Linked DNA regions of Cricetulus griseus. Each later gene encodes a partner of the first gene's protein in a complex. Links are inferred from orthologs where the notes say so. Each region holds a gene or a part of one and is shown in the gene's direction. Other genes may lie near its edges. The genes, in order: Pcna, Mcm7, Lig1, Cdkn1a, Pold4, Zranb3 and Fen1.

The links.
Region 2: Pcna (region 1) and Mcm7 share a complex: the UniProt entries of both Homo sapiens proteins name them as parts of the replisome complex. The link is inferred for Cricetulus griseus from reciprocal best matches to the Homo sapiens genes PCNA and MCM7.
Region 3: the proteins of Pcna (region 1) and Lig1 are in contact, whole or in part, in a cryo-EM structure (PDB 8B8T), measured with the Homo sapiens proteins. The link is inferred for Cricetulus griseus from reciprocal best matches to the Homo sapiens genes PCNA and LIG1. Residues at the interface, in NP_002583.1 of Homo sapiens: Met40, Ser43, His44, Val45, Leu47, Leu126, Gly155, Arg210, Ala252, Pro253, Lys254, Ile255; in NP_000225.1 of Homo sapiens: Ala361, Gly363, Arg364, Ser368, Ser388, Thr389, Gln390, Arg391, Leu392, Met393, Leu394, Val432.
Region 4: the proteins of Pcna (region 1) and Cdkn1a are in contact, whole or in part, in a crystal structure (PDB 1AXC), measured with the Homo sapiens proteins. The link is inferred for Cricetulus griseus from reciprocal best matches to the Homo sapiens genes PCNA and CDKN1A. Residues at the interface, in NP_002583.1 of Homo sapiens: Cys27, Asp29, Met40, Ser43, His44, Val45, Ser46, Leu47, Ala67, Met68, Gly69, Ala96, Asp97, Leu118, Met119, Asp120, Leu121, Asp122, Val123, Glu124, Gln125, Leu126, Gly127, Ile128, Pro129, Gln131, Tyr133, Ala208, Asp232, Val233; in NP_000380.1 of Homo sapiens: Arg143, Gln144, Thr145, Ser146, Met147, Thr148, Phe150, Tyr151, His152, Ser153, Lys154, Arg155, Arg156, Leu157, Ile158, Phe159, Ser160.
Region 5: the proteins of Pcna (region 1) and Pold4 are in contact, whole or in part, in a crystal structure (PDB 6HVO), measured with the Homo sapiens proteins. The link is inferred for Cricetulus griseus from reciprocal best matches to the Homo sapiens genes PCNA and POLD4. Residues at the interface, in NP_002583.1 of Homo sapiens: Met40, Ser43, His44, Val45, Ser46, Leu47, Val123, Glu124, Gln125, Leu126, Gly127, Ile128, Pro129, Gln131, Tyr133, Asp232, Val233, Pro234, Tyr250, Leu251, Ala252, Pro253, Lys254, Ile255; in NP_066996.3 of Homo sapiens: Lys4, Arg5, Leu6, Ile7, Thr8, Ser10, Tyr11, Pro12, Val13, Val14, Lys15.
Region 6: the proteins of Pcna (region 1) and Zranb3 are in contact, whole or in part, in a crystal structure (PDB 5YD8), measured with the Homo sapiens proteins. The link is inferred for Cricetulus griseus from reciprocal best matches to the Homo sapiens genes PCNA and ZRANB3. Residues at the interface, in NP_002583.1 of Homo sapiens: Met40, His44, Val45, Ser46, Leu47, Gln125, Leu126, Gly127, Ile128, Pro129, Asp232, Val233, Pro234, Tyr250, Leu251, Ala252, Pro253; in NP_115519.2 of Homo sapiens: Asp1071, Ile1072, Thr1073, Phe1075, Leu1076, Val1077.
Region 7: the proteins of Pcna (region 1) and Fen1 are in contact, whole or in part, in a crystal structure (PDB 1UL1), measured with the Homo sapiens proteins. The link is inferred for Cricetulus griseus from reciprocal best matches to the Homo sapiens genes PCNA and FEN1. Residues at the interface, in NP_002583.1 of Homo sapiens: Cys27, Asp29, Met40, His44, Val45, Ser46, Leu47, Ala67, Met68, Gly69, Asn95, Ala96, Asp97, Leu118, Met119, Asp120, Leu121, Asp122, Val123, Glu124, Gln125, Leu126, Gly127, Ile128, Pro129, Glu130, Gln131, Glu132, Glu201, Pro202; in NP_004102.1 of Homo sapiens: Arg19, Phe27, Gly28, Arg29, Lys30, Lys80, Val167, Lys168, Ala169, Gly170, Pro188, His208, Ser210, Arg211, Leu296, Lys297, Trp298, Ser299, Glu300, Arg332, Ser335, Thr336, Gln337, Gly338, Arg339, Leu340, Asp341, Phe343, Phe344, Lys345.

The regions. Positions count from the first base shown.
Region 1 is NC_048599.1:46,331,537-46,335,595, forward strand, and holds the start of Pcna (proliferating cell nuclear antigen), read left to right. Parts: upstream 1-1,259; 5' UTR 1,260-1,269; coding exon 1,270-1,490; intron 1,491-2,216; coding exon 2,217-2,314; intron 2,315-2,462; coding exon 2,463-2,530; intron 2,531-2,802; coding exon 2,803-2,997; intron 2,998-4,059. UniProt on the Homo sapiens protein: Auxiliary protein of DNA polymerase delta and epsilon, is involved in the control of eukaryotic DNA replication by increasing the polymerase's processibility during elongation of the leading strand.
Region 2 is NC_048597.1:116,878,920-116,882,975, forward strand, and holds the start of Mcm7 (DNA replication licensing factor MCM7), read left to right. Parts: upstream 1-1,256; 5' UTR 1,257-1,380; coding exon 1,381-1,411; intron 1,412-2,147; exon of another isoform or gene 2,148-2,298; intron 2,299-2,687; coding exon 2,688-2,767; intron 2,768-3,539; coding exon 3,540-3,704; intron 3,705-3,788; coding exon 3,789-3,913; intron 3,914-3,984; coding exon 3,985-4,056. Other genes in the region: Ap4m1 (AP-4 complex subunit mu-1), read right to left, coding at 94-190, 269-375, 715-803, 894-951. UniProt on the Homo sapiens protein: Acts as a component of the MCM2-7 complex (MCM complex) which is the replicative helicase essential for 'once per cell cycle' DNA replication initiation and elongation in eukaryotic cells.
Region 3 is NC_048602.1:26,552,844-26,556,343, reverse strand, and holds part of Lig1 (DNA ligase 1), read left to right. Parts: intron 1-66; coding exon 67-158; intron 159-366; coding exon 367-466; intron 467-1,555; coding exon 1,556-1,641; intron 1,642-2,277; coding exon 2,278-2,393; intron 2,394-3,500.
Region 4 is NW_023276806.1:257,585,737-257,589,748, forward strand, and holds the start of Cdkn1a (cyclin-dependent kinase inhibitor 1), read left to right. Parts: upstream 1-1,212; 5' UTR 1,213-1,452; intron 1,453-4,012. UniProt on the Homo sapiens protein: Plays an important role in controlling cell cycle progression and DNA damage-induced G2 arrest. Involved in p53/TP53 mediated inhibition of cellular proliferation in response to DNA damage.
Region 5 is NC_048596.1:55,018,304-55,021,965, reverse strand, and holds Pold4 (DNA polymerase delta subunit 4), read left to right. Parts: upstream 1-1,475; 5' UTR 1,476-1,681; coding exon 1,682-1,778; intron 1,779-2,078; coding exon 2,079-2,168; intron 2,169-2,339; coding exon 2,340-2,451; intron 2,452-2,797; coding exon of another isoform or gene 2,798-2,822; exon of another isoform or gene 2,823-2,860; coding exon 2,861-2,897; 3' UTR 2,898-3,162; downstream 3,163-3,662. UniProt on the Homo sapiens protein: As a component of the tetrameric DNA polymerase delta complex (Pol-delta4), plays a role in high fidelity genome replication and repair.
Region 6 is NC_048598.1:60,708,631-60,712,572, forward strand, and holds the start of Zranb3 (DNA annealing helicase and endonuclease ZRANB3), read left to right. Parts: upstream 1-1,142; 5' UTR 1,143-1,391; intron 1,392-3,942. UniProt on the Homo sapiens protein: DNA annealing helicase and endonuclease required to maintain genome stability at stalled or collapsed replication forks by facilitating fork restart and limiting inappropriate recombination that could occur during template switching events.
Region 7 is NC_048596.1:50,248,125-50,252,055, forward strand, and holds the start of Fen1 (flap endonuclease 1), read left to right. Parts: upstream 1-1,131; 5' UTR 1,132-1,438; exon of another isoform or gene 1,439-1,449; intron 1,450-3,931. Other genes in the region: transmembrane protein 258, read right to left, coding at 877-879. UniProt on the Homo sapiens protein: Structure-specific nuclease with 5'-flap endonuclease and 5'-3' exonuclease activities involved in DNA replication and repair.

The DNA.
Region 1 (4,059 bases):
ATGTTAGGAAGGCAGTGGTGGCATACACCTTTAGTCCCAGCACTCTGGAGGCAGAGGCAGGTGAATCTCTGTGAGTTTGAGACCAGCCTGGTCTATAAGAGCTAGTTCCAGGACAGCCTCCAAAGCCACAGAGAAACACTGTCTCGAAAAAAGCAAAACAAAACAAACAAACAAACAAACAAAAAGAGGCATTTGAAATAGAAACTGTGGACTTTCACATTAATATTTTACACTTTCGGCATCAAACATATTTTATCCATCACCAAAACAAAACAAAGAGAAGAAACATTAGAAATTAAAAAAAAAAATAGCTTTACATCCGTTTGTAGCTGGTGTCCACCACCTGCATTCAGTTTCCCCCACCCTTATAATCAACAGGAAAAAGAAATTTCAGTAGAACAAAACGCAGCAGGAACACATGCACCTGTAATGGCTGACATTTTCAGGAATGGGTATTGATTTTAACATGAAGTTATTGGTGCTTAGCCTCTAGGCCCTGGGTTCATCTCCAGCCTAGATGGGGTTCAGGCTAGGGAAAGAGGCGTAACAGGGAACTAATTAGGTGGGACCTATGGATTATGTATCTTAAGAGATAGTCATACTTTGGGGTTCTTTGCAGAAGTGTTCACGGCAAGAAGGAACTCTTTAATCTTTAGGGAGGAAAGTTCAGAGCGCCCAACACAGTGAAGTGATAGAAAACCGGGGTTAAGATGTGGTGGCTCCTTCCTTACTCGGTATTTTGCAGCGTTTTCGCCTACGCAGTAGCAAAAGCGCTCTGTAGTGTTTGAAACAGGTATACTTTTCGACTTCAGGCAGCCCTGCACCCCACCCCTCCCAACCCCCGACCCGCGCCTCCCGGCGCAGCTCGGCTTGCACGTGACTTTCATTTCCGTGGCGCGGAAACTTGCCGGGACAAGCCTCCTCCAAAAGGTGGGCCTCCGCGGATCCCATAATGCCCCACGCTTCCCACGCCCGTACGCCGCAGCCCCGCCTCTGTGTACGCGGCAGGGCGGGCCTTGCGCGGGACTCGGATACGATTGGTTCTGAGGGGAAGGTGGGTGGGGCAGCGCGGTGACGTCGCAACTCTCGCGCACGGAAAGAGCGCGCGCCTAGGAAGCGGCAGCATAAAAACGGTTGCGGGCGCCCAAGTTGGTAGTCGCTCCCTGCGGGTCCTCGCTGCCACTTCTGCATCGCGAGCCGGGAGACCTTCGCGGCCGGCCCTCTCTCCTGTCACAGTCTCTAGTATCTAGTCGTCGCGACTCCGCCAGGATGTTCGAGGCTCGCCTGGTTCAGGGCTCCATCCTGAAGAAGGTGTTGGAGGCTCTCAAAGACCTCATCAACGAGGCCTGCTGGGACATCAGCTCGGGCGGCGTGAACCTGCAGAGCATGGACTCGTCGCACGTCTCCTTGGTGCAGCTCACTCTGCGCTCCGAAGGCTTCGACACATACCGCTGCGACCGCAACCTAGCCATGGGCGTGAACCTCACCAGGTGAGCGGGTGGCGGGAGCTGGGCTCTAGCCCTCCCGCCTCGGGTCTTGGCGGGGCTCCGGCTCCGTGCTCTCATTGGCTGACGTGGTCATCCGCGCCTTCTGATTGGTGTCTGGAGCTGGGGGCGGAGCCCGAGGAAGCGCGCGGTTCTGAAAAGCCCGCGCTGGTGGCCGCGCGAACCCGCTGTTTCCGCGCCAAAGCCACAAAACGGGTGCCGGCGGGAAAATGCCTGCGTTGGAGATCAGTTCATTAAACGCCAGCAGCTTTTTTTATTTCAGGGCACAACCTTGTCCTGGCTAATTTTAGCTGCCTACTAAACGTGTTCTGGTGAAAATGTGGTACTGTCCACTTAGAGGGACAATAGGCCTTTTCTACTTGGAGTCTAGAATCTCATTGCGAATCATTTGTGGGAAAATTTACCAGTCTTAGCTTTTAACTTTGTTACAGATGCATGAATTTGCCACCGGTATACGTTTTAAAAGATTTGTGAAAAGGCCACATATGATATAGGGCACACTCTGATACACTGGAAACCAAGGACATCCTGCTCAAAAAATTATTTACTGGCATATTGCCTTTGAGTGGTTTTAAGGATCACATTCCCGATAGTTTACTCCCCCCCCCAGGGGATTTGGTGTGGGCGTAAAAGGGTAACATCTTGTAATTGCCTTTAAAAGAGTAGATGTTGAACACATGGTGTTGATAAGCCCTGCTTCTTGTTTTCTAGCATGTCCAAAATACTAAAATGTGCTGGTAATGAAGACATCATTACACTAAGGGCTGAAGATAATGCCGATACTTTAGCACTCGTATTTGAAGCACCAAGTAAGTTACACCTCTAAAACTCAATTGTTACAGAAAGCAAAGTATGATCTGTTTCTCAAAACTAAGGATATTAACAGAATTGCGGTTGTAAAGTTTTACACCATAGGTATGAACATGTGCTTCAATAACATTTGCTTCCTTTTGTTAGATCAAGAGAAAGTTTCAGACTATGAAATGAAGTTAATGGACTTGGATGTTGAGCAACTTGGAATCCCTGTGAGTATCTTGTTCTCGTTTCTGGTGGTCTTTGAACTCATTCTGTAGACTCAAACTCAGCAGAGATCTGCCTGCCTCTGCCCCCTTAGTGCTGGGAGAATATCCTGTTTTCGCTGGTGAATTTTACCAAGCTGTGATACCAGCTGATGAGTTCCAAAGTGGGTATTTGGAATGAAAGACAATTTCACTAAGCAATGACAGTCTAAAATTGAGTTTTAAAGAAATCAGATACTTGTCCTCACACTTCTGACCTTTAACTTTGGGATTTACAGGAACAGGAGTACAGCTGTGTGGTAAAGATGCCTTCTGGTGAATTTGCGCGCATATGCCGAGACCTTAGCCATATTGGAGATGCTGTTGTAATATCCTGTGCAAAGGATGGGGTGAAGTTTTCTGCAAGTGGAGAGCTTGGAAATGGAAACATTAAGTTGTCACAAACAAGTAATGTTGATAAAGAGGAGGAAGCTGTAAGTAGTAAAAGTTGTCTGCAGTGTCTGAAAGGGGAATGAATATAAGCTTAACTGCTGAGCTGGTTCTCCAGACCTAGCTCTTTTGAGGTGGAGTGTGAGTAGACCAGGCTGTCTTTGAACTTAGATACTCCACACTCTGCATATATGCTTTCACAGGTGGGACTGGGAAGCTAGGTGTTTCCAAGCTTTTGCTTCCTAGAATGACTGACAAATAAGCATTAACAAGTGAACAGAAGAAAATGGTTGGGGTTGTGAGTCTGTTGGGATCATGTAGATCTTGTAGTAAGTAGCTTTGTGTTGGACTTTCACGTGCTACCCCATTTAATGGTGCAAAAGCAGACTAAGTAAAGTTGAGTGTTGATAAGTTTTAAAGTCCTCAAAAATGAGGAAGATGTTGGAAAGGCAAAGGAAAAATGCCTGGAAAGCCTCATTCAAGCAGAAGATACTAGGCTAATTGCTAAATATTCAGAAGTCAAAACTTTTTAATTATACTAAGTTTTTTAAAAAGTTTTGCCAGCTAGTCTGAGCATCAGACTATAAATTGCAGACACAGTCTGAACTAAATATGATTTTTAGTGCTAAATGTAAAATTCGGAGTGCTTAACACAAAGTGTTTAATGTTATTTTGTCTGCAACTTGTATAACTGAGGATTAGAACATATATACACAACCCATAGGGCTGGTTCTTAACCTTAATCTGTCTGCTTAATTATTCCTACTTACCTGTCATCCTCAGATCACAAGGTATTTAATTCATAAGTATTTTGTTTAAAGCATAAGCATTACCACAACAAAGGAAATTAAGTTTTCAGTATTCACATGTTTCTTATTTCCTTAGTTTGAATTGGGACTTGAAAAAAATTCCTGATAAAATGAAAATTGGTCAACATGTCCCTTAGCTTGCATTTAACTTGTTGCTTCTTGTTACTAGAGTTGGTTATGAGCTGCTGGATGTGGGTGCTGGGAACCAAACTTGGATGTTGTGGAAGAGCATCGAGTATTAACTGTTGGGTCATCTCGCCAGCCGTGGTTACTTTTGGGGGTGGGAGTTGAGTGTTG
Region 2 (4,056 bases), on another chromosome or scaffold:
TCTTCTGATGTACAGATATACACGGAAGCAGAATGTTGTATACATAATAAATAAAATCTTAAAAAAAAAAAGAGGGAAGTCTTTGGGCTTTACCAGTACTTCATCCAGCAGTTCATAGACAAGAGCCACATTCCGTGAGACGGTCCCCTCACTGAGTGAGCCACAGTAGTCACACAAAAGAGTGGCTAGCCTAAGGAAACACAGTTGAGTGTGTGTGACTAACCCTCTCAGGCCCTGCTTCTTGGGTGCCCATCCCAGCCCCACTCACCTGGAAAGCAGCTCGAGGAGGCTGAAAGGAGAGACGTTTTCAGAGGTTGTGGCCACCAAGTAGAGGCCACTGTGTCTGATGTGGATGAAATGACGGTCATCATGGTACTGCGGCAGAGTTGGGGAGAGAGGCATTAAAAGACCAGAATTGCAGTAATGTAGCCCACGAGATGGCATCCTAAGGTTGCTACTAGTGGGTGATCCCTGAAACCTCCCAACTACCTGGCCTCCTAACGTGTAACCTACCTCTCAGGATTGTTGACAGTCAAGTGATGAGGGTGCAAGGCTGTTGCTGGCATCTTGTTAGCACTCAGTAAATACACTTGGAGAAACGTATCCCTTCCCCTCCCTGGAAGCTTCCTATCAAGCAGCCCTTGAAAGGGAGCGATGAGGCACCCACCAAGCTCTACAGTCCTAAGCCCCTGCAAGCCCGCCACAAGTGGTTACCATGACAACCGGGGACTCGCCTCCAGTCAGTCCCGTCAGCTTCCGGTAAAAGAGCTCGGCCACATCACGACCACCACTGTCCCCGCGAACTGGAAGGATAGTTAAGGAGCAGGCGACCCAGAAGGCTCTGGGCTCCACTTCTACCGACTACTCCGCCCCGTTTCGCTGGCCAAGGATACAGTCTTTGTAAATGAGTGGGTCCCCCTTGGAGGACAGAATGAAGAACTGGGAAATCATGGCCGTGCTGGAGGGCAGACGAGAAGACGGAGAAAGCTGAAGCCACCCCGCCCTGCGGCCGACGAACAAAAGGAGGCACGGAGGCTGGCGCTTTAAGAAACACTCCTCCCACTTCCACACGGGAGGCCGTAACTCTGAGCCGCGGGAAACCCGGCGCCCCACCCGCCGGGCCAGCACTCTCCCTGCGGCCCTCCCCCTCGCTGCCTGTCACTCGCCCCAGACTCGCCCAGGGATTGGTTGAAACTGGGTGCCGGCAGCGGTTAGGGGCCCCTGCTCTGATTGGCCCGTACTCAGCGGCACGTATCACGTGGGTGGCGACGTTTCGCGCCAATTTCGGTTGGTGGCTGCATCGCGCCGCGCGCTTGCTCTGCGCTTCCCCGGAGTGAGGCTTCTCGGCTCGCCGGCTCCCGTCGCAGGTCCCCGGCAGCGATGGCGCTCAAGGACTACGCGATCGAGAAAGGTGGCGTGCTGGGAGCGGGCTGGGAGCGGTTCTCCGCGGGCTTCTACGCCTGCCGAGGGGAGCCGGGGTCTGTGTCGGGGGGCCCGGCCTGCGCCCGGGACGAGCGTGGCGGGCATCAGGATGGGAGCGATGCGGTTGTGTGAGGAGCAGGACCCAGCGGGGCCAGGTAGAGGAGGGCGCCACCCCGCACCGCGCCGCGCCGCCGAGACCCGGGTGACGTGGGGCTCGCCTGCAGCGCGCGGCTCGCATGCAGCGCGCGGCCCGAGGGCCCGGGGAAAGGGGGGGCCTCTGCCTCTGCTCTTTGGGGCGCCAGAGAATTCCCGCGTCCACTCGAGACGCGCCGGGGTTCGGGGGCGGGGCTTGTCAGGCCGCTGCGCGCCGGGATTGGTTGTTTTAGTCCGCCCTCCAAGCGGAAGTAGAGGCGGGCGGAAGTGGCGCTTCCCTGTCGGAGGGAGTGTCGTGTGTAAACAGTGTCCTTCCGCGCAGGGGCTCGGGGGTAGCTGCGGCGGGTAGGGGCGTGCCTGGAACTGGGAGGCTGAACGCCCGGCGGCGAGAGGTGGCAGTGAAGTGGCCCCGAGTGGCCCTCTGGCGTGCTGGCCAATCGCCGCACGGCCAGCCGCCTCGGGCGGAGGGATCCTGGGCTGTGAGGCGGCTGGAATCCGGGCCCATGTGCTTCTTTGTTTACTAAGAGCGGAAGCGGTGGCGGGAGCGGGGTGTGGGGTGCGGGGGAGGCCTAGCGGCGGTCGTCCTGGCGGGAGTAGAAAAAGAGTTGTACGGGTGGAAGGAGGACCGAGAGTCTTGAAAGTCGATCGTGTGCGAGCTGAGAGAACGGAAGAAACTGAGACTCCTAACTGGGCAGTGAGTCACATTCTCTTTGGAAGCTTGGGGTAAGACTCTCGTAACTGCCCAGGGACCTGTATCCTTCCCCGGGTAAAAGCAGACTTGTGAAAAGGGGTACTGCCCGCTTGGGGGAGAACTAGGTAGGCTTCTTTTGACTGTTCATTTAACTAATTAGTTCATAGGTCCCGTCCTAAATGAAAGTGGGTTTCTTAGGCTTCCGTTGAAAATTTAAAGAATCCGAAAAGGTAGATTGTGTGTGCTGCACGAACATACCACTACTTGCACGTGGGTGTTAGATACAGGCCGAGAGTGTGTTCTCTCCCAGCCTGTGGGTGGGGCCCAGGGATTGAACTCTGATAGTCAGGCTTGGCCGCAGTGGTCTTTACACCTCACTGTTCCTTAAGATTTGTTTTTGAATTTTTACATTTGTTTGTAGAAAAAGTTAGAAAATTCCTGCAAGAGTTTTATTATGATGATGAACTCGGAAAGAAGCAGTTCAAGTATGGAACCCAGTTGGTAAGTCCCAGGATTGGTAATGGGGGGTTGGAATAGCATGTAAGAACTTGTACAAGGTGGTCTACCTTGTTACAGCAAGTATGGCTGTCAGTGGATTTTTGTTTGTTTGTTTTGTGGGTTTTTCGAGACAGGGTTTCTCTGTGGCTTTGGAGGCTGTCCTGGAACTCACTCTTGCAGACCAGGCTGGTCTCAAACTCACAGAGATCCACTTGCCTCTGCTTCCCCAGTGCTGGGACTAAAGGCGTGAATGATTTGGTTTTGGTTGTTGTGTACAAAGTTTTTCTTTTTAGCTTTGGGTTTTGTCTTTTTTTAACTGTTTGAATTATGTTTATTCGTGTATGTGTGGGCTTACATGGAAATGGAGGTCGAATGTACAATTTGGGGGTCCATTCTCTCACTGTGGGTTCTGGGGATCAAACTCAGTTCTTCAGGCTGGGTGGCAGTGCCTGGCCCATTGAGCCATCACCCCTATTCTTGGCTCTTGGTTTTTAGAGATAGTATTTGTGTGACATGGACTGGCCTCAAGAATACTTCATGTGGTTAAATAGCTGAGATTGGCTTTGAACTCCTGATCATCCTGACTTGTGCCTCCCAAGTACTGGGATTACAAGCACACTGCCATGCTAGACTGTAGTGGCTAGTTTAGCAGAGTACTTGTCTGGTATGTGGGGCAGTGTTTATAGGAGTCAGGAAGTTGTTTTCGGGGCTGAAAGTGTTTCTGCACTGTGATCTTTTGTTTTTGTGGATGTAGTAAACTTGGTCCTTGCCTCAGGTTCATCTGGCTCATCGGGAACAAGTGGCATTGTACGTGGACCTAGATGATGTTGCTGAAGATGACCCTGAGCTGGTCGACTCAATTTGTGAGAATGCCAAACGCTACTCAAAGCTGTTTGCTGATGTTGTACAAGAGCTTCTGCCTGAGTACAAGGAGAAGGAGGTAGGTTGCTGGTTTCTGAGCTCTCCTGCCCGATAACCCCCATTCTTTTCCTGTCCTGCTTCTCACTTTCCTTGTCTTCTTTAGGTGGTGAATAAAGATGTTCTGGATGTTTACATTGAGCACCGACTGATGATGGAGCAGCGGAGCAGAGACCCTGGGGCAGTCCGGAACCCTCAAAATCAATATCCTTCTGAGCTGATGCGTAGATTGTAAGTGTCTTTGTGGGTAAGGTCAGGAACTTGTTCTCCAGGACCTTGCTGACAAATGTTTTCTTCTCTAGTGAGTTGTATTTCCAAGGCCCAAGTAGCAGCAAGCCTCGAGTGATCCGAGAAGTGCGGGCTGATTCTGTGGG
Region 3 (3,500 bases), on another chromosome or scaffold:
AGACAAAGTGTGGAGGACAAGACTGGAGAGTGGCCAGCCCACTCACCCCTGCTGCTCTCTCCTCAGGTCCCTAAGTGGACGCCTGCGCCTCGGGCTGGCTGAGCAGTCCGTCTTGGCTGCCCTTGCCCTGGCTGTGAGCCTCACACCCCCTGGCCAAGGTGAGTAGCTCTGGCCCATTTTTATGGCAACACTGTGTTTATAGGGCCCCCCTTCTCCATCTGTTGCCCCATTCTCCGAGAATGCTCTTAGGCAGCCTACCTCATTCCTTTCTCTGTCATAGGCCACACACTGCCCTCCATGACTATGGGCCCTTGAATAGCCAAGGGGTCATGTTCATAACTAAGCCACTGGTGGGTCTTTTCATAGAATTTCCCCCAGCTGTTGTGGATGCTGGGAAGGGCAAGACCACAGAGGCCAGAAAGACATGGTTGGAAGAACAAGGCATGATCTTGAAGCAGACCTTCTGGTGAGATGCAGGGCTGGGGCAGAGTCGTGGCCGACACGTGAGTGATTGACATGGGTCTAACACCAGCATGGGGCTGTGATCGAGGCAGGGGTGATGCTGGGTTGTGAGCAGTGAGAGCAGAGCAGACAAGGAGAGCATGTGGGCCTCGGGCACAACCTGCCTGGAGTTCCAGCCAAAGCCCTAAGGGACCCAGAGAAGAGGCTGTGACTACTCATAGTCGATGTTACAGGCACAGTGAGGGTTAGCGCTCTGTAGTGAGCCACATGGAGGGACTTTGGTGAGCAGCTGACCTACGACCTTTAACTCAGTGACCTCCTCAGTGAAGGAGGGCAGTGAACAGTTCCGTAAATAGCCCCAAGGCACCTGATCTGGGCCTGACTTCTCTGAGTACTGGGCATTCTGTGATAAGTTTTGTACACGTCACCCAGTGGCTTAGCATCTGGAGGCTCCACCATCTGCCAGGCCAGGCTCTGTCCTGACCCAGACCAGCCGGGACGGCCATAGCCTTGAGTGGGACACAGTCATTGCTCTTGGGACATGAGCAAGGGGTGAGGGAGGGTCCACGCTGAGGGAGACCACCCTCATGGGGTGGCACGGTGACTGGGAGTAGGACACGGTCACAGAGTTAAGCAGAGGTATTCAGGAGCCCCAGTCTGGCATGGGCTGAGGGGTCTCTGTACTTCCGCTTATATGTAGACAGCAGAGTTTTCAAGTTCTAGAAAGAACCTCCATGGGTTGGGTGTGTGGTTTACACCTGAAATCTCAGGACGCACTTGGGATTTCATGTTAGAGTCCAGCTTGGGACCCTGTTACAGTGCAGCAGATCCTGTCTTGTAAAATCCCCGAGTGGGCATGTGGCTTAGCAGTTGAGCACTTGCCCAGAATCTCACAGTTAGGTCGGGGCTAAGGCATGGCTCTGTGATGCAGTGTCGTCTGCCTAGAATGATCCGTCCTGATCTGGGTTGGGGCTGTGGCCCAGCAACATCTCCTTCATATGCCTGAGATCCTGGGTTCTACCCTTCCTCCCAGTACCATGGAAGAAAACAAAAAGCTTGTCATGTTGCTCTCTTCTCTTCAACCTCTCCCTAGTGAGGTACCTGACCTGGACCGAATCATCCCGGTGCTGCTGGAACATGGCCTGGAACGCCTCCCAGAGCACTGCAGGCTGAGCCCAGGTACCCGCCACGGGCCTTTGAGGCAGGGGCAGCTATCCTCTGGAGCCTGAGTGAGCAGCTGCACCCAGACAGCCTCTGACTGCTTGTTCCCTTTGCCGAGACCCTTTCCTTTTCCGCTGAGCGCTCCCTTATGAACTGAGAGGAGCATGGGCTGCAGCAGCACAAATTTCCCAGAAGGCTCAGGCAGTGGCTTGGCCAAGGAGAGTCTGTCATGCACCTCCATGTTCAGATCCCGGCAGGCAGCCATGGCGGCATGTGGCTGTGCTTCAGTGGTCATCCAAGGACCTGGGTTCCTTCTCTCTTGACTCTCTGCTGTCTTGAAGCTGTCACTCTAAATCCTATATGATCAGGGACAGGGGAGGTAATCGTGTTGCTTGTCAAGCATGCGACTGGTGTAACCATACACTGCTCTTGTTACTCCTGTGCCCGCTTTATGGCCTTTATTAGCTGCCAGGGAGGCTGGTACAGGGACCCAAGTGTGTCTTCTGAAGTGTGGGTGGTCCTGTCCTTTACATGATAGCAGGAGAAGAGAGTAGTAGGTCCTGGGCAAATTGGTAGCCTTTGCTGCTCCCTCTATCTAATTCCTTGATCCATAGCCTTCCCTCTGACTTCCTAATTTGCTTTCTTCCTTCCCAGGGGTCCCTCTTAAACCAATGCTGGCTCATCCCACTCGGGGTGTCAGCGAGGTACTGAAACGCTTTGAGGAGGTGGACTTTACCTGCGAGTACAAATATGACGGGCAGCGGGCCCAGGTATGGGTAAAGCACAGCCCCTCCTGTGGGAGGACGGTACTCAGTACAGGCCCCGAATGGCACAGTCCTCTCTGGCTTTAATCTGCCCTCTGTTCAGTGAGGGCAGTACCCTTCACCCAGCTTATGGCAAAATGGGGGTGCCAGGAGTTCTGACTACAGAAGGGTCATCAGATGCTAACTCTCCTGGTGCTTGGTGAATGTAATATGGTTGCCCTTCTGGAAGGCCCTGTGTGACTCCTAGTGCAGTGACAGGCATAGGCCTCTCGGGACAGGCATGCTGGGAAGTGTGCTATGGCTTTTCTCTCTCGGTGGGATTTGGGACTAGGTTGGCATTAATCGCATGAGGAAGGGATAGCACGCAAGGTGAGTGGTACCTGGGGCTTTGGGGCAGTCACAGCAGTGGATTCCACATGCACAACCTCAGCTGTGAGTCTTCAGAATAATACTGAGAAGACAATCAGAAAACGGTTTATAATAGTGGTCACGCTATGTTAAAGATATCATGTGTGTGAGATGGCATCTATGTATATAAAACCCTGCTCAAACCCCGTGACCAGACAGTATTCAAACAGCTAAGCCAACAGTAGAATCCAAAATGATTCAGTTGTAGCACAACTCATTCAGACAGGTCTGTGTTGCATTTAGCAAGGTGGATGAGCTTTCAGAGTCAGGGAGGTGGGGCAATGGGAAGACAGAAACAATGAAGGCAGGCACCAGGCTGGGCAAGATGCTTTACCAAGCCTGATGACCTGAATTTGATCCACATGGTGGAGGGAGAGATCTAACTTCCTCAGCTTGTTCTCTGACCTCTATACTCAGCAGTATGGTAAATCTGTGTGTGTGTGTGTGTGTGTGTGTGTGTGTGTGTGTGTGTGTGTGTGTGTGTGTACTCATAGTGTGTGCATACGTGTTTGTGTGCGTGTGCACTTAAGCCTGTGCACATACACATACACACATTTAATAAAGGTTAAAAAAACAGAACAAATAAAGATGGTGGATGCCATACACAGGTTGCAGGTACCAGGAAACTTGAGATGACTTGCTCAGATCTCTGGAACAGCTTGTTGAGCTTCCCAAACTTATTAGTGAAGATGGGGTCTGAAGACC
Region 4 (4,012 bases), on another chromosome or scaffold:
TTTGTCATGGCCATGAATGTATATGCAGGCACACATGCCAGGTTCTCATGTGGAGGTCAGAGAACAACTTTCAGGGGTTGTTTTTCTCCTTCTTCATGTGTGTGGGTTTTGGGAGCCAAACTCAGGTCCTTAGGCTTGGTGGCGTATAAACTGATGGTGTGTCTGCTCTATGGTATGGCTAAGGGGAGGTATTTTTTTTAATGTAGTTATGAGGAGAGAAAAGTCAGAGGCATCTGGAAGAGACCGGAGCAGAGAGAGAGAGTAGTAGAGGGAACATGGCCAGTGGACTGGACTTGTCCATGAGTGAAACAGGAGCAGAGAGAGAGAGAGAGAGAGAGAGAGAGAGAGAGAGAGAGAGAGGGAGAAAGAGAGAGAGAGGGAGAGGGAGAGGGAGAGGGAGAGAGAGGGGGCAAGCAGAGAGAGGGAGAGAAAAGAACAGGGAGAGAGCAGAGAAAGGGAGAGAGCAGAGAAAAGGGAGAGAACAGAGATGGGGAGAGAGCAGAGAGAAGGAGAGAGCAGAGAGAAGGAGAGAGCAGAGAGGAGAGACAGGGAGAGCAGAAAGGGGGTAGAGAGAGAGAGGGAAGGAGGGAGACAGAGAGAGCAGGCCACAGGCAGCTGTTTTTTTCCTAAGCCCTGAGGGTTTTGTTTTGTTCTTCTCCTTTTCTCTTTGCTTCAGTCCATGGGCATTGATCCCTGGCATGCTAGGCAGGGGCTCGACCACCAAGCTTCATCCCCTAATTCTTTGGTTTTGCTCTTTGCATGAAGTTTCATTTACTGAAACCTCAGGTTGACCCTGAATTCACTCTACAGGCCTTGAACCTTCCATCCCCCTGCTTCAGACTCCGGCCTGACAACGTGAGTATTCTCCCAAAGGCAAGTCCCTTTCCACCCTCTTCCCCTCTGTTCAGAAACCCTAGGTTAGGGAGGATGGGCGGCTGATGGAGCCATTTCCAGCCAGTTGAAATACAGAGAGGGAGATTGGACCTTTCTTGAGGTCTCAGGGAGTGAACCCCCACCCTTCCAGATCTAGGCTGAGCACAATGCACCCCCTATAAGAAATTCTGGGGGGCTTCCTAGCAAGCTGTCTCCTAGGTCCCCAGGGGATTCAGGAGATTTGCCAAATAAGGGATTTCCTGCATGTGGGCCGGTAACTCCTTCGGCTTTGATGCTGTTTTTTTTTTTTTTTTTTTTTTTTTTCCTTTCCTTTGAAAGCTGTGTACCAGAAGGAGGAAGTGGGGTCCTGCTGTGTGTGGAGGCAGTGTGCACTGTTCCTTTGTCCCTGTGTGGACCTCATGGTTTCATTTCTTGTGGTGCTGGATGGTCCACATATGTGAGAACCCATTTCCTAGGCGCCTCTGCAGTGTTCTCTCGGTCTGTGCCTCAGCGGGAAAAGCCTAGGATGACTTCCTAGGCAGGAGGACATCCCATCTGCTCATAGAGACTCCGCAAGAAGTAAGTCACATCAACTGTGTCCCCAGCCAGGGACTACAGAGACCTCTGCAGCCATACACGGCCATCTGTCAGCTTCCCATCTATGGTCTGGTCTAGAGAAGGCAATTTGAGTACTCCTGAGCCAGTTGACAAAGTGCACACATCCTCTTTAGAGCCTTCTCCTTCCTCCAGCCCAGGGAATAGACCTCCAGGCCCTCAAGATTGGGAAGCTATAGGACAGAAAGGGCCTGGACCTCTGACTCACTGCATGGAGAGCACCGGCCACCTAGAACACCTTTCCTGGATTCACGAGTGTGAGAGATGATCTCCTTCTCCCTCAAATCTTTACCTCAGTGAAGTAACTGGCTCTGTTCTATCTTAGTTTCAGTTGGTCTCACGTAGAATGAGTGGGCCTCAAACTTATGGCAGTCCTCCTGCTTCTTCCCCTGAATATCAGGGGTGTGTTGCCACACTTGGTTCAGTTTAAACAGATCTTATGTGGCCTAAGCTGGTCTCAAAGACATGATCTTCCTGCCTGGGGTTATAGGTGTGTGCCCCAAGCACACCCTTGTCACATTTCATAGTCTGTCTGTTTCACAGTGCCAGGCCTCGCTCCATGTCCCCTTCATGCCCCCTCCATGCCCCACCCACCCTGCCAGCTCTTCCTCAGCCCTCTCCTAAGCTCTCAAATGTTTCCAGGAGGACACATGGTCCCCTCTCTACAAGTGCAGGTCTCTAAGAAGCCACAGAAGATCAACAGAGGACATCACACTGGTGACTCCTGGCTCTGCAACCATAGTGCGGCCACTGTCACTGGGGCTTAGAGGAGCTGCTGCTACATTCCGGGGTGGTTCTGGTGCCAATATAACCCCAGAGGAACCCAGAGACACCTTAGGGCAAAGACAAAGATGAGCAGCTGATGGAAGGGGCCACAGTAAAGACCCGGACTCACCCTGACCCCTGCCAGAGTCATTCCAGCCAAAGCTAGCAGCTCCCAGGGCCTTGTTTCCTGTCATCTGCCTACCTGTGCTGGGTGGAGGGGGGGCCATGGTTCTGAACTTCTGAGGCCATTGCCCCACTGTGCAATCAGAGGCTCCGAACCCCAAATCCTTAGCACTTTGATGGTGTATGCTGGGGCTTGTCTTGGGACGGGCTTTAACAAAGAACAGAAATAGTAAAGAATGCCAAGTCCTCTCTTGGGGACCATCCAGAAAGTTGAGCTTGAGGGAGGGGTATCTTGAAGGCTGTTTGTTTTGTTGAAACAGGATCTCATGTAGCTCAGGATGTCATCCAATTCAATTTATAACTGAGGATGACTTTAAACTTCTTTCTTTTTAAAAAAGATTTTATTTATTATGTATACAACATTCTGCTTCCATGTATATCTGCACACCAGAAGAGGACACCAGATCTCATAACGGAATGTTGTGAGCCACCATGTGGTTGCTGGGAATTGAACTCAGAACCTCTGGAAGAACAGTCGTTGCTTTTAACCTCTGAGCCATCTCTCCAGCTCCCTCTTTCTTTTAAAGATTTAGTTTATAGTTATGTGTATATGAGTGTGAGGTTTGTGCATGTGAGTGCAAGTGCCTGAGGAAGCCAGAAGGGGGCATCAGATCCCCTGGATCTAGAGTTCCAGGTGGCTGTGAGCTACCAAATGTAGATTCTGGGTCCTCTGCAAGACCACTATATACTCTTAACTGCTAAGCAATCTAGCCCCAAGACCTTGAACTTCTGAACCTCCTGCTTCAATCTCCTGGTGCTGGATGACAGGTGTGTGCTGCCACACCCAGTTTATACAGTGTTGGCATGGGTCCCAGGGCTTTGTACATGCTAGACAAACTCTATTGACTGAGCTACATCTTCAGTCTATAATTAGATATTTTAAAAACAAAAATGATTGAGCTGCATTTAAATTTGTGTTTTTACCTAACAAACCACATTAAAACCCATTGGTGTGGGTTTGATTCTTACATCACAACAAGCAAGGATGAAGAAGGACATAGCGAGGGCCCAGTGTAGTGGTGCTCACTTTTAACCTCAGCACTCAGGAAGCAGAGGCAGGAACTGGCCAGCACAGCAGGTAAAGGCATTTGCCATCAAACCCGACTGAGTTCCATCCCCGGGCCCACCTGGTAGGAGAAGACTGATTTCTCTGACATCCCCGGGGCCCCATGAAACACATGCACCCACATGCATGTGCACACACACTCACTCACACAAAATAAATAAAGTATAACATGTGCATACATATTTTTTAAGAAGCACAAGCTGAAGCCAGGCACAGTGGCACATACCTTTAATCCCAGCACTTGGGAGGCAGAGGCAGGTAGATCTTCATGAGTTTGAGGCCAGCCTGGTCTACAGAGTGAGTCCTAGGATAGCTGGGCTACATAGAGAGACTCTGTCTCAAACAGACACAGGAGAAACACATGGCAGAGCGGACAACATCTGAGGAATGACAAGCAGGGTTGGATTTTCTGGTGTGACACACCACACGTATACATACGCACCCTTACCTACACAGATGAACACATACATACAATATACAAGAAAGAAAAAAGAAGTTGATTTTTTTTCT
Region 5 (3,662 bases), on another chromosome or scaffold:
AGGAAGTTGGTGAGGGGGAGGTGATAGCAGGGGTGAGTCAGCGATGACAGGAGCCCCAAGACAAAGGTCATGGGTACAGAATTGAGAGACACTGTTTACAGCAATCTACCTCCTGGAGGTTTCTCCCAATGCCCACCATCCTCCTCTAGCTCTAAGGAGTTCTTTCTCCTTCTGCTTTCCTGTACAGGTCTGACAACTGGATGCCCCTCTACCCTGCAAGCTTGGGATCTTCTGGAGCACAAGGAAGGCTAGTTACACAGTATCTGTTACTAAGAGCCCTGATCACAATTTACCTACACCCACTTGCAAAACTCTTTTGATGTCTATTTTGAATAAGGTTGTGGGAACTGCTTAGTACAGCTCTAGGCACATGGTAAGCCCAATATAAGGGAAAGGTTTATTGATGTTATTTTCTGTTATATACACATTTCTAAGAAACAGAGCATATCTGTCAGTTAAGAACTGGAGATCTAAGCTGGGCATTGGTGGCACACGCCTTTAATCCCAGCACTTGGGAGGCAAAGGCAGGTGGATCTCTGTGAGTTCGAGACCAACCTGGTCTACAACAGCTAGTTCCAGGACAACCTCCAAAGCAATACAGAGAAACCCTGTCTCGAAAAAAAAAAAAAAAAGAACTGGAGATCTATGCCAGGCAGTGGTGGCACACACCTTTAATCCCAGCACTCAGGAGGCAGAGGCAGAGGCAGGCAAATCTCTGTAAGGCAATTTCTGTGAGTTTGAGGCTAGCCTGGTCTACAAAGTGAGCTCCAGGACAGCCAGGGCTACACAGAGAAACCTTGCCTCAAAAACCAAAAGGGGGCAGCGGGGGAGAACTGGGGATCTGAACCCATAGGGAGTGGGGACTAGACTTCTGGCATCCTGCTTGGAATGGAATCTTCCTGACTAGCAAAGTGGACAGAGGCAGGCTGTCGGGCCTGACAGTGGACACAGCAACCGCATGCCTGGGCTGGGTGGACAGTGTCTCTGCCAGCGGACTGTGAGAAAGGAGCCTTCGGAGCCCATGGGCTTCTCCAGCCAGGTCTCTTGGGGCCGGTAGGAGCAGGGAAAAGGCCAGGATTAGTTCAAACTCTCTTTGGACCTAAAGATCTGATCCCACAACGCTCTGGGGCCAACCGGCAGGAGTAAAAGGTTCCAGCCGGGCTCAGGGGACTTACAAACTGGCCACGGGGATTAGTGAGGCTGAAAAGAACATTTGCCTAGGAAGGAAAAACGGGAAGTGAGAGGCTGAGGATAACTCTCTATATGTCCCTAGGGACCCAAGTGGACCAATGAGGGACCGGAGGAGGTGGTGAAGTCTGGGGCATCTTGACAGGTCCTTGGTTCCGCCTAAACCCTCCTCACTCGGACGCAGCAGCAGCTGCCCCACCCCCTGCCCTCTGACGACTGCCATTGGCTAAAATTAGGGTCCCGCCCCACAAAGGCCGCTTGCCATTTGCTTAGGCTCTGATGTTTGCGTGCTTGTGGGGGCGGAAGACAGGCGTCATTCTCTGGAACCTAGGGACTTCCTCTCTCTGCTTGTCTGGGTCAACTTGTCTGTCCATCGCTGGCCCATCTCTCTCTGGCCCTCTCTCACACTCTCAGCAGCTGTCTTTCACAGGCCCACTGCCCTGCCTTTTCTTTCCCGCTATTGCCTCCTGCTCCGCCTGCCTGGGTGGCCGCCATGGGCCGGAAGCGGTTCATCACTGACTCCTACCCTGTTGTGAAGAAGAGGGAGGGGCCCCCTGGGCACAGCAAGAGGGAGCTGGCACCAGAGCTAGGTCTCTGAAATGTGGGGGTGGCAGAAAGAGTGGGTATGCAAGTATGCAAGGACCAGAAAGGGGAGGGGGGAGAGGAGAGAGAGAGAGAGAGAGAGAGAGAGAGAGAGAGAGAGAGAGAGAGAGAGAGAGAGAGAGAGAGAGAGAGAGAGAGAGAGAGAAGCTAGTATGTCTCATACTTCTGATGAGCTGTCTGGCTGCTGGATGGCAAAGGCAAATGAGTGAAGATACAGCCAGTGGCACAGCTGTGTCCAGGGTAGGGCAAAGGCCTGGATGGGCCTGAGGAGCTGCATGTTATTGCAGGAGAAGACACCCAGTCCCTCAGCCAGGAGGAAGCACAGCTGGAGCTGCTGAGGCAGTTTGACCTGGCCTGGCAGTATGGGCCTTGCACAGGTGAGAACCCCACCTCCAGCCCACCAGGCACATCTCTGAACCAGTTCTGTCATCGATGTGTTTCAGAAATAATCCAAGTGCCTGCCTAACACTGTCTCCTGAGACTGGCATGTGTGGAGGCCTCTAGCCTGGACTCTTCTGCCCTGCTGAGTCTTCTTTCCACCCTGGCAGGTATCACACGGATGCAGCGCTGGCATCGGGCAGAGCAGATGGGCTTGAAGCCCCCTCTAGAGGTGCACCAGGTGCTGAAGACACACTCTGAAGACCCCCGCTTCCAATTCAGGTCAGGACAGCTTTCAGGGAACCAGGCCCTTCTCTAGGAGTTGCCACTCTCTGGTCTGCATAGGGGCTTCCTTGACTTGGAGAAATGGGCACAGACTTAAGGGGTCCTTCCTGACAAGTAAGAAGGGTCTTCTAGGTGCCTGGCTCAAGACAGACCCCTTTAATGATCCTTACCTCTAAGAGCTAATGGTGGTGCAAGAGTATATACAGGGCCCATGGGGCTATCTGAGTACTGGGGGTTCATCAAAGCCACAGAAGCACACACAATAGTTAAGAACTGCTGAAGATCCATCAAGGAATAGAACTGACTCTGCTCTGCACTCCTCCTCCTCCCCTGTCTCCCACAGCCTCTGGCATCTCTACCCACTCTGAGGTTCCACCCGGGTTGTTCTTCCCTTGACACCTCCTAGCCACCAAGAACTTCTGGACAGAATCCATGGCCAGTAGATGCTGCTCTGCTCATCTCAGCTCTGGAGAAACAGTTAGCAGGCTGACTGTGGAGGTCATCCTGATTCAGCCTCTTACCTGTCCAAGCAACAGGCTCCTGATGCTCCTGAGACCACACCTCCGGGGCCTAATCATGACCACCAGATGCTTGCCATACCCTCTCTGATGTAGTAAATCCAGCACAGCCTGACTCAAAGCCAGATGTCAGAAGAATCAAAGAGTTCACTAACGCTTACAATAAAGTACATTAAGCCTGAAATCCTGACCTTTAGTCCCTTAATATGACTCTGCTCTAGCTGGCAGTTCCCAAAAGGTAAGTAGGCAGGAGAGCCAGCTATAGGCTTTTGTGTTGTCTGTCCCCCCCCCCCCCGCCGCAAAGACATGGTTTCTCTGTGTAGCCCTGGCTGTCCTGGAACTCTCTGTGTAGACCAGGCTAGCCTTGAACTCAGAGATCTGCCTGCCCCTGCCTCCTGAGTGCTGGGATTAAAGGCTGTGTCACTATACCACCTGGCTTCCCTATCTGTCTTTCTAAGGCAGTCTTCTCATGAGCTGAGCAGCCTCTGGTGTCCCCTGGTGGTACTTAGAAAAGCACTCTGAGTCTCCTTCCCTGACCAGCCAGCAAAAAGCCTGTCTGAGGTGCCCAGCTTGTAAGCAACTATTATGTTCTGACACCATAGGTCTCCGTGGGTGTTACTACCACTGAAATATAGCAAAACAAACATGGAAATCAGTTATGTCATATGGTGTTCAGCATTAAGTAAAATT
Region 6 (3,942 bases), on another chromosome or scaffold:
CCTCAGAAACCCACGGCCCAGGCGGGCTGGCGGGGAGGGACGCTGTCTCCTCAGCGCGTCGCTCCCTGGCTGCCTCAATCTCCCGCTCCGTTAGCGCTACCGGTCGGCGGGCGGGGGAGGGGAGCGAGCGCGTTATTCCCGGGACGCCGCGGGGGAGGGGACCGCATCGCTTACCCGCGTTACTGAGGAGAAGGAGCAGGAGGAGGCGGCGTGAGCGCGGCGCGGCGGGGCGACGGCGGGGCCGGCTGGTTGCAAGGAAGAGTCTCACGGAAGGGAATTAACCCCATCACCAGCCCGGACACCGGCTCCAGCGGCAGCCGCGGCGGCAGGATCCCGCCCCTTCCCACCACGCACTAGTCCCGCCTCTCCGTTCGCGTTGACGGGTAGCCGGCTCCCTCATACGCTAGATGAACATTGAGTGACATAAAGTCTATCCAATCAACGTTTAAAAACCACTTTAGCTCCACCCCACTGTCGCTGCGGGGCCGCGTTAGAACTGCGCTAAATCTATCTCCACCCCTAGAAGACAAAGAACCAATCCCTGGCAAGCGATCGTCCTTGAAGGACGCAAGAGTCAACCAATGACGAAGCTAGGAGGACAGCCATTTTGCCCACTTGTGAAAGAACCACCTTTTCCCACGAGTAGGACCCTGAGGTAGTCGAGTTCCGGGAGATTTTAATCACTGGGGATATGGAAACAACTATATTTCTTCAGAGAATATTTGTAGAGGTTCTAAGGATGAAATGAGAATTTTTGTCCTTCATGTAGGAGATGTGGGAAGGCTTTAAACATGAGGCTCCTCCCCTTAGCGGTAAAGGATTGCAAGCGGAACACCTGGTTTCTCCAGTCTTAGTGGTGGAGAGCAGGACTACTGAGCACTTTGACTTATGGAACTACAGTTCCCAAGATGCTTTGCGAACCCCCATAACAATTTTCTCCACTTGCTTCCTGTTGCGTCTCATGGGAATTGTAGTTCTTGAAAGGTTACGGTGTGCCCCTCTTCTCCAAATGGGTAGGGAAACCTTTTGAATAATTTGGACTTATGAATGAGGTCGCAAAGTTGTAGTCCGGTCTTCTAGCCTCATTGAAGGAGGAGAGAAAATATAAAAGAAGGATGGGGAGTTTTCTCAGGACATCACAGGGTTTTATAGTGCTGGTATTTTAACTCTCCCACTTTCAGGTCATCCCAACGTCACTTCCGCTTAGGTGCCTACACTTGCAAAAAGCTTGGCGGGAGTTGGAGGTTCTAAAGCTAGTGCACCCGTTTTGTCGGTCTGGGAGTACTGTGTAGGCCAAAGGATTGGAAAGTGAATATACCGGGCTTGGTGCCTCATGCCTATCACAGCAGGAAGCCGAAAGATCGCCGTGAGTTGACAGCCTGCCGTACAGAGTGAGTTTTAGAATAGCTGGGACTACAGAATTGACTTTGTCTAAAATAAACACACACACAAGAGAAATGTGGAATGTCATGGGTGTAATTCCCGAGCCCCTAATGTGATTTCCTATCCTGTTTTTTATTCCTGCGGACCCAATGTTTCTTATCAGATCCGCTCACTAGTAGATTGCACCTCTCTTGAGTTTTTAGAGGACACTTTAATAATTTGCTTTAAACCGGGCGTTGGTGGCACATACCTTTAATCCCAGCACTCGGGAGGCAGAGGCAGGTGGATCTCTGTGAGTTCGAGACCAGCCTCATCTACAAGAGCTAGTTCCAGGACAGCCTCCAAAGCCACAGAGAAACCCTGTCTCGAAAAACAAAAACAAAAACAAAAAAAAAAAAAAAAATTAGCCTTTAGCCACTGTACGTGACGCAGCGTGGGTTTGTTTCCTTAGTTTGAGCTAATTCCTTCTGTTCAAACACTCTACAGAAGTTGCCTTTGAAGGAACAAAGCTCGGGTTGTTAGACTAATGGAATGGTCCCGAGTAACCCTTCCATAATATTAAGTGGCGACCAGGTGACACTTGTAATACTCCAATGACAAAAAGGCATCATCAAAAAAGCCTTCAGAATTCACAACCTAGTAAGCTTATTAAATGAGGCATACCAGATTGATCACCTCAAGCCTGAAGCTACTCAAAGTCTCTTCCATGGTTTTTAAGGAGACTTAGCCTTACAACTTTTCTTGTAAATATTTATTGAACACTGAGACTAGGTAGTGAGTATACCAGACTTAAAGGGTTCAATAGTGCACACAAAGGTTTTGTTTTGTTTTGTTTTGTTTTTTAGGAGTGAGGAAGAGAAAGATTAAACAAAATTAATGTTACTTGGTCTTTTAATATCTCCCTAAATCCATCCTCTTCATACTCATGTTTTGTGTGTTGGTTTGGTTTTCTCTTTGTTTTCTACTTTTAGATTTAAAAACCGTGTTTGTCTATTTCCATTATTTTTACAGAAGTATTGCCAAGTCTATGTCCAGTACTGATAAGAGGTGTTTGTACTCCACATAGATGAAACACCTAACTAGTGCAATCCTAGATGAAGAAATATATCAGTAACTTGTAGAAAGCCAGCACAGTCTTACTTTCTGTTTGTTAAGAAAAAAAAAGTCTTTGCTTTTTAATGTAATACTTCTGCATGTGTGAGTGCATGCATGTGTGTTAATGAACGCATCACTTCCTGAAGAACAGGCATGGTAAGCAGAAAGCCCCGTTGGGCTACTTCATTCCCATCGTGAAGTTAGAATATCCAGTGATGTTTAAGTATTAGGATCCCTAAAAGCTTAATTGGTTTTTATTCCCCATACCTCTTCCAGAGTAAATCAAGTCAATTAGTAGTAATAATGACAATCATATTACTATTTTGTCTGAGCCAAAAATGGGTTTAGTGTGTTTACATATTTCCTTGACACATATGTGATTTTTTGTTGTTGTTGTTTTTGATTTTTGGTTTTGAGACAGGCTTTTTCTGTGTAACAGTCCTGGCTGTTCTGGAACTGGCTTTGTAGACCAGGTTAGCCTTGAACTCACAAGGACCTGCCTGTGTCTGCCTCAGAGGGTGCTGGGATTAAAGATGTGCACCACTACACCTGGCTGAGACTGTCTGTCCTTAGTTGACACTTTGTGAGCATTCCTAGAATGTGTTGATTGCTTTGACTAGACCATCCCAGTTTGTTACCTTGCAGACTTTAACATGTCTAAATGGGTGCTGCCAAAACCCAGCTCTGAGGTTTTTTTTTTTTTTTTGAGTGCTGGAGATAGACTGAGGGCCTTGCATTAGCTACCTATGTGCTCTATCACTGTGTTACATCCTCAGCCTTGGTATTGTTTAATAACTGAAGAAAAGCTGGGAGGTGGTGGCTTACACCTTTAATCCCAACACTCGGGAGGCAAAGGCAGGTGGATCTCTGTGAGTTCAAAGCCAACCTGGTCTACAGAGTGAGTTCCAGGACAGCATCCAAAGTCACAGAGAAACCCTGTCTTGAACCTCCCCTCCCCTCCAAAAAAAAAAAAAAAAAAAAAAAAAAAAAAAAAAAAAAAAAACCTGAAGAAACTGGGGCCTCAGTAAGTGCAATAAGACTTTGAAGTCTGAACCCTTAGTCAAGGCAGTTTGAGACTGAGATACATATCTCGGTCTTTGATTTTCTTTTTCAGCCCTAAACCATTGCTTCTCACATGTTTATGAATCATGGAGTGCTGGTTTCCTATGTCATCAGAGTGCTGGGAATAAAGGCATTCACCACCATGCACAGCAGAAAAACACTATTTTTGTTTTGTTTTATTTTTTAAAGATTTATTTATTCTATGTGTTATGAGTGCACGTATGTATGTATGCCACATACATGCCTGTAAGAAGGCATTGGATTTCCTGAAACTAAAGTTCCAAATGGTTGTGAGCAACCATGTAGCTGCTGGGAATCCAACCTGGGTTCTCAGCAAAAGCATCAAGTTTTCTTAACCACTGACCCATTGCTCCAGAATCTCAGCAGGAAGACCTGTTTTAA
Region 7 (3,931 bases), on another chromosome or scaffold:
TGGAGAAAGATGATAAATGTTGACACATCTAGTTGACTGCCTGCCATGGAGTAACTGCTCAATAGGTATTTGTTTCCTTCCTAAGGTTGTAGAGAAGATTATGAGATAATGCCTGTGAAAGGACTATAAATGCAAAGTTCTGTACAAATGTTAACTTCCATTGTCACTTGCCAGCCAATGCCTCTAAAGTCCAGAACATAACAACTCCAGAGAAGTAAACTGAACCCATTGTTCTAAGAGACACAGGAATTCAATTCAGTAAACAATTATGTCCCCCTTTCCCCCCTATAAAAGCCAAAGACAATTGCTGCCATTTATGGAGCCTCCAATTGCAGGCCCAGTGTTTGGCAACAAGAATACAAAGAAGAATAGACATCACCCCAGAACTAGATGCACGTCAGATGGTGGTCACTAGGAGGCGTGGCAGATAAAAAAGAGGTCCACGAAACGTGGCAAGAGGTGTACAGAGACTGTAAGAGCCCAGAAAACAGACAAGTGCCTGTGAGAGTTGCAAGTGTTTCACCAGGTAATGACATGTATCCAAGGGCCTTGCGGGATGAATTCAGCAAGGGAAACTTTCCAGATAGCGATAACTGATCATAGGAAAGAGAAATAAACGCGCGAAGGTATTCAACGTGCACCCCACGCCCCTCAGCCTTATGATCAACAATATCATAAGCCCATTGTGATGGAAACCTCAGTCTGAGAAATTCTCGGCAAGGGGCTTGCTTTCCCCGTTCCTCAGCTAAACATGGGCTCCAGCAGCGACCCACCCTGGGGACACGGAATGCTGACGACTCCGCGGAAGAACGCGGTGTGGACCGGATACCCAGGAGTCCTGGCCCACAGCCCTGTCCGCAACTCCCACCATCTCACCATTTTGCCCCGCACACGATAAACCACCGGTCCACCACCGGAAGAACACGTCGGCAAGAGCAAGCGCGTTGAGCAACAGGAAGAGGATGTGGTCCCTCGCGCGTGGCATTGTGGGACTTGTAGTCCCGCGGTTTCAGGTGTAACGGTAACTGGGACTCTGAAGACCTATGTGAGTGACATGGGGTTGGAATGTGAGAGGGGGTAGTGCAGAGTCTCTGTTTTAATCCGTTTTCCCCGGAAATAAGGTCCACTATGAAAGCTGCGGTCTGAAGTGGCAGAGACTGCACTATATTTCCCAGGAGGCTGTTCGCGGAGGGCGGGTCACGTGACCGGAGCGCGGGCTTTGGAAGGCGGCGAAGCTGGAAACGACTTCGGCTCTACATCAGAAGAACGCGCTCGAGTCGGTTCTGAGGACTCCGTGGATGCCGGACCACCGCTAGCTGCCGAGGGAGGGTGAGGCCTCGCGGAAGCGGTGCTGAGAGCGACGAGTTACCGCGGGAGCAGCACCAGGCGGCCCCGGCTTTGACCATTCGCGCTGCTGGGAGCCTCCGTCTCTTCACCGGTAGGAAGTAGGTAATAACCTTTCCCCGCGAGGACTACGGCCTTATTTTAGAAACACTAGAAACGACTTGTTCAGTCCGTTTCCTGCCCGGGTCTGCGGGGTACTGCAAGAGGAAGACGACTAACAGGGTATTGCTAGGGGAGTTTGTTAGCTGGCAGTTCGGGGATTCCGAAGCAGAACCTCAGTCCACCCGGAGAGAGCAGAGCCTGTTTCTCCGAGGGCCCTTGTGAGGAGGTTTTGTACCTCTTAGGAAATGGGTCCAAGGTCTGCTGACATCAAGAGACACTGCTTGCGTCCTTTTCTTTCTTTCTTTCTTTCTTTCTTTCTTTCTTTCTTTCTTTCTTTCTTTCTTTTTCTTCCTTCCTCCCCCCCTCTCCTTCCTTCTTCCTCCTCCTCCTCTTCTGTGCTGTTTTTTATTTTTTTATTTTATTTTTTTTTTGGTCCAGGATATTTTTTTAAAAAAATAATTTTATGGTCATTGGTGTTTTGCCTGCATGTATGTCTGTGTGAGGGTGTCAGAAGCCCCGGGACTGGAGTTACAGGTATGAGCTGCCATGTGGGTGCTGGGAATTGAACCCCGGTCCTCTGGAAGAACAGCCAGTTAACCTCTGAGCCATCTCTGCAGCCTCCCGAGACACTGTGCTTTCTGATATTTCTGGCTGAGGGAGGCGTTTTATCCTCCATGCAGCCATTTCATGTAAGGGTTTGCTATCTGGGACATCCTGTGGAGGCGGGACTGAGATGGCATCAAGACAGAACAGTGTATCCTCTGTGACAGGATGGGTGCTGTCTTGTACTCATTCTAGCAAAGCAGTGAGACATGAACCAGAGCACTGGGTGGGCAACACTGGCACACCATCTGGTGATGTGTGCTTTCCACCTGGTGTTGGCCAGTTTTGCAAGGCAGAAATGATTCTTTCACAACTCATACCACAGAGTAAGTGCCTTAATTGTGTTTCACAGAGCTGAAGATGTGGCTCAGTGTAGAGCGCTTGCTGGCGCTAGCATATGTGAGGCCCTAGGTCAGTCCCTGTTGTTATGCACAGGACACATCAAGTGGTTTCATGGGTGGTGGCTGGATTCGAAGCTGGGCTTTTTATTTGATTTCTGGTGCTGGGGATTCAGCCGGGGACTTCAGCCTTGCTAGGCAAAGCTGCTGTACCTGTGAGCTATAATCCTCAGCCCTAAGGCTGGACTTGGCTGCTTGTATTCATAGGGGAACCACAATAATACAGACAGGAAGAAGAGAGGAAGGATGGCAGGAAGAACACACGGCTGATCGAAAGAGGGAGGTGGGACTTTTAATTAGGCTCCCATACTGTACAGGTAGATTTTGATGCTGTTCCTACTGAGGTGTTGGGACTCAGGAAGGGGAGTATAAGTGTCACATAGGCTTCAGAGAAGATACCATGGAGTAAGATTGGGAACAATTAGAACTCCTAGGATAGGGTTTTCTTTCTTCTTTCTTTGGTTTTTGTTTTTTGAGGCAGGGTTTCTCTGTGGCTTTGGAGGCTGTCCTGGAACTAGCTCTTGTAGACCAGGCTTGTCTCGAACTCACAGAGATCCACCTGCCTCTGCCTCCCAAGTGCTGGGATTAAAGGCATGCGCCACCACTGCCCAGCTCGCTTGCTTGCTTGCTTGCCTGCCTGCCTGCCTGCCTGCCTGCCTGCCTGCCTGCCTGCCTGCCTGCCTGCCTGCCTGCCTGCCTTCCTTCCTTCCTTCCTTCCTTCCTTCCTTCCTTCCTTTCTTTTTTTTTCAAGACAGGGTTTCTCTTTATAACAGTCCTGGCTGACTTGGAACTCACTTTGTAGACCAGGCTGGCCTTGAATGCACAGAAATCTGCCTGCCTCTGCCTCCCAAGTGTTGGTATTAAAGGCGTACACTACCACCGGCTGCCTGATAGGATTTTCTTGTGTGGAAACACTATCATTGGGCAAGCAAGATGATGCTAGTAAATTATGTATTAGAAAATCCTTTTTATTATATTTAACACATTAAAATATGACTGATATATGCAGGTTCCCCCCCCCCACACACACACACAGGATTTCTCTGTGTGTACTCCTGGCTGTCTTGGAACTGGCTTTGTAGACCAGATTGGCCTGTAGACCACTGCCTGACACATGCAGTTATTTTTGCTTAAAATGGATTCTCTTTCCAACTTAAGTTTTTGTTTGTTTTTTGAGACATGGTCTCACTGTAACTCTCGCTGGCCTGGAGCTTGCTATATAGATTAGGCTGGCCTGGAACTCAGATCCACTTGTCTCTGCCTTCCAAGTGCTAGGATTAAACAGGCATGCGTCATTGCCCAGCAGTGGTGCACACCTTTAATCCTGGCCCTCGGGAGGCAGATAGACTTATCTCTGTAAACTTGAGGCCAGCCCAGTCTTCAGAGCGTGTTCTAGGGCAGCCAAGGCGGTTACACAGAGAAATCTTGTCTCAAAACAAAAAAATTGTTAAAAGCCAGGTGCACGTCTTTAATCCCAGCACGTG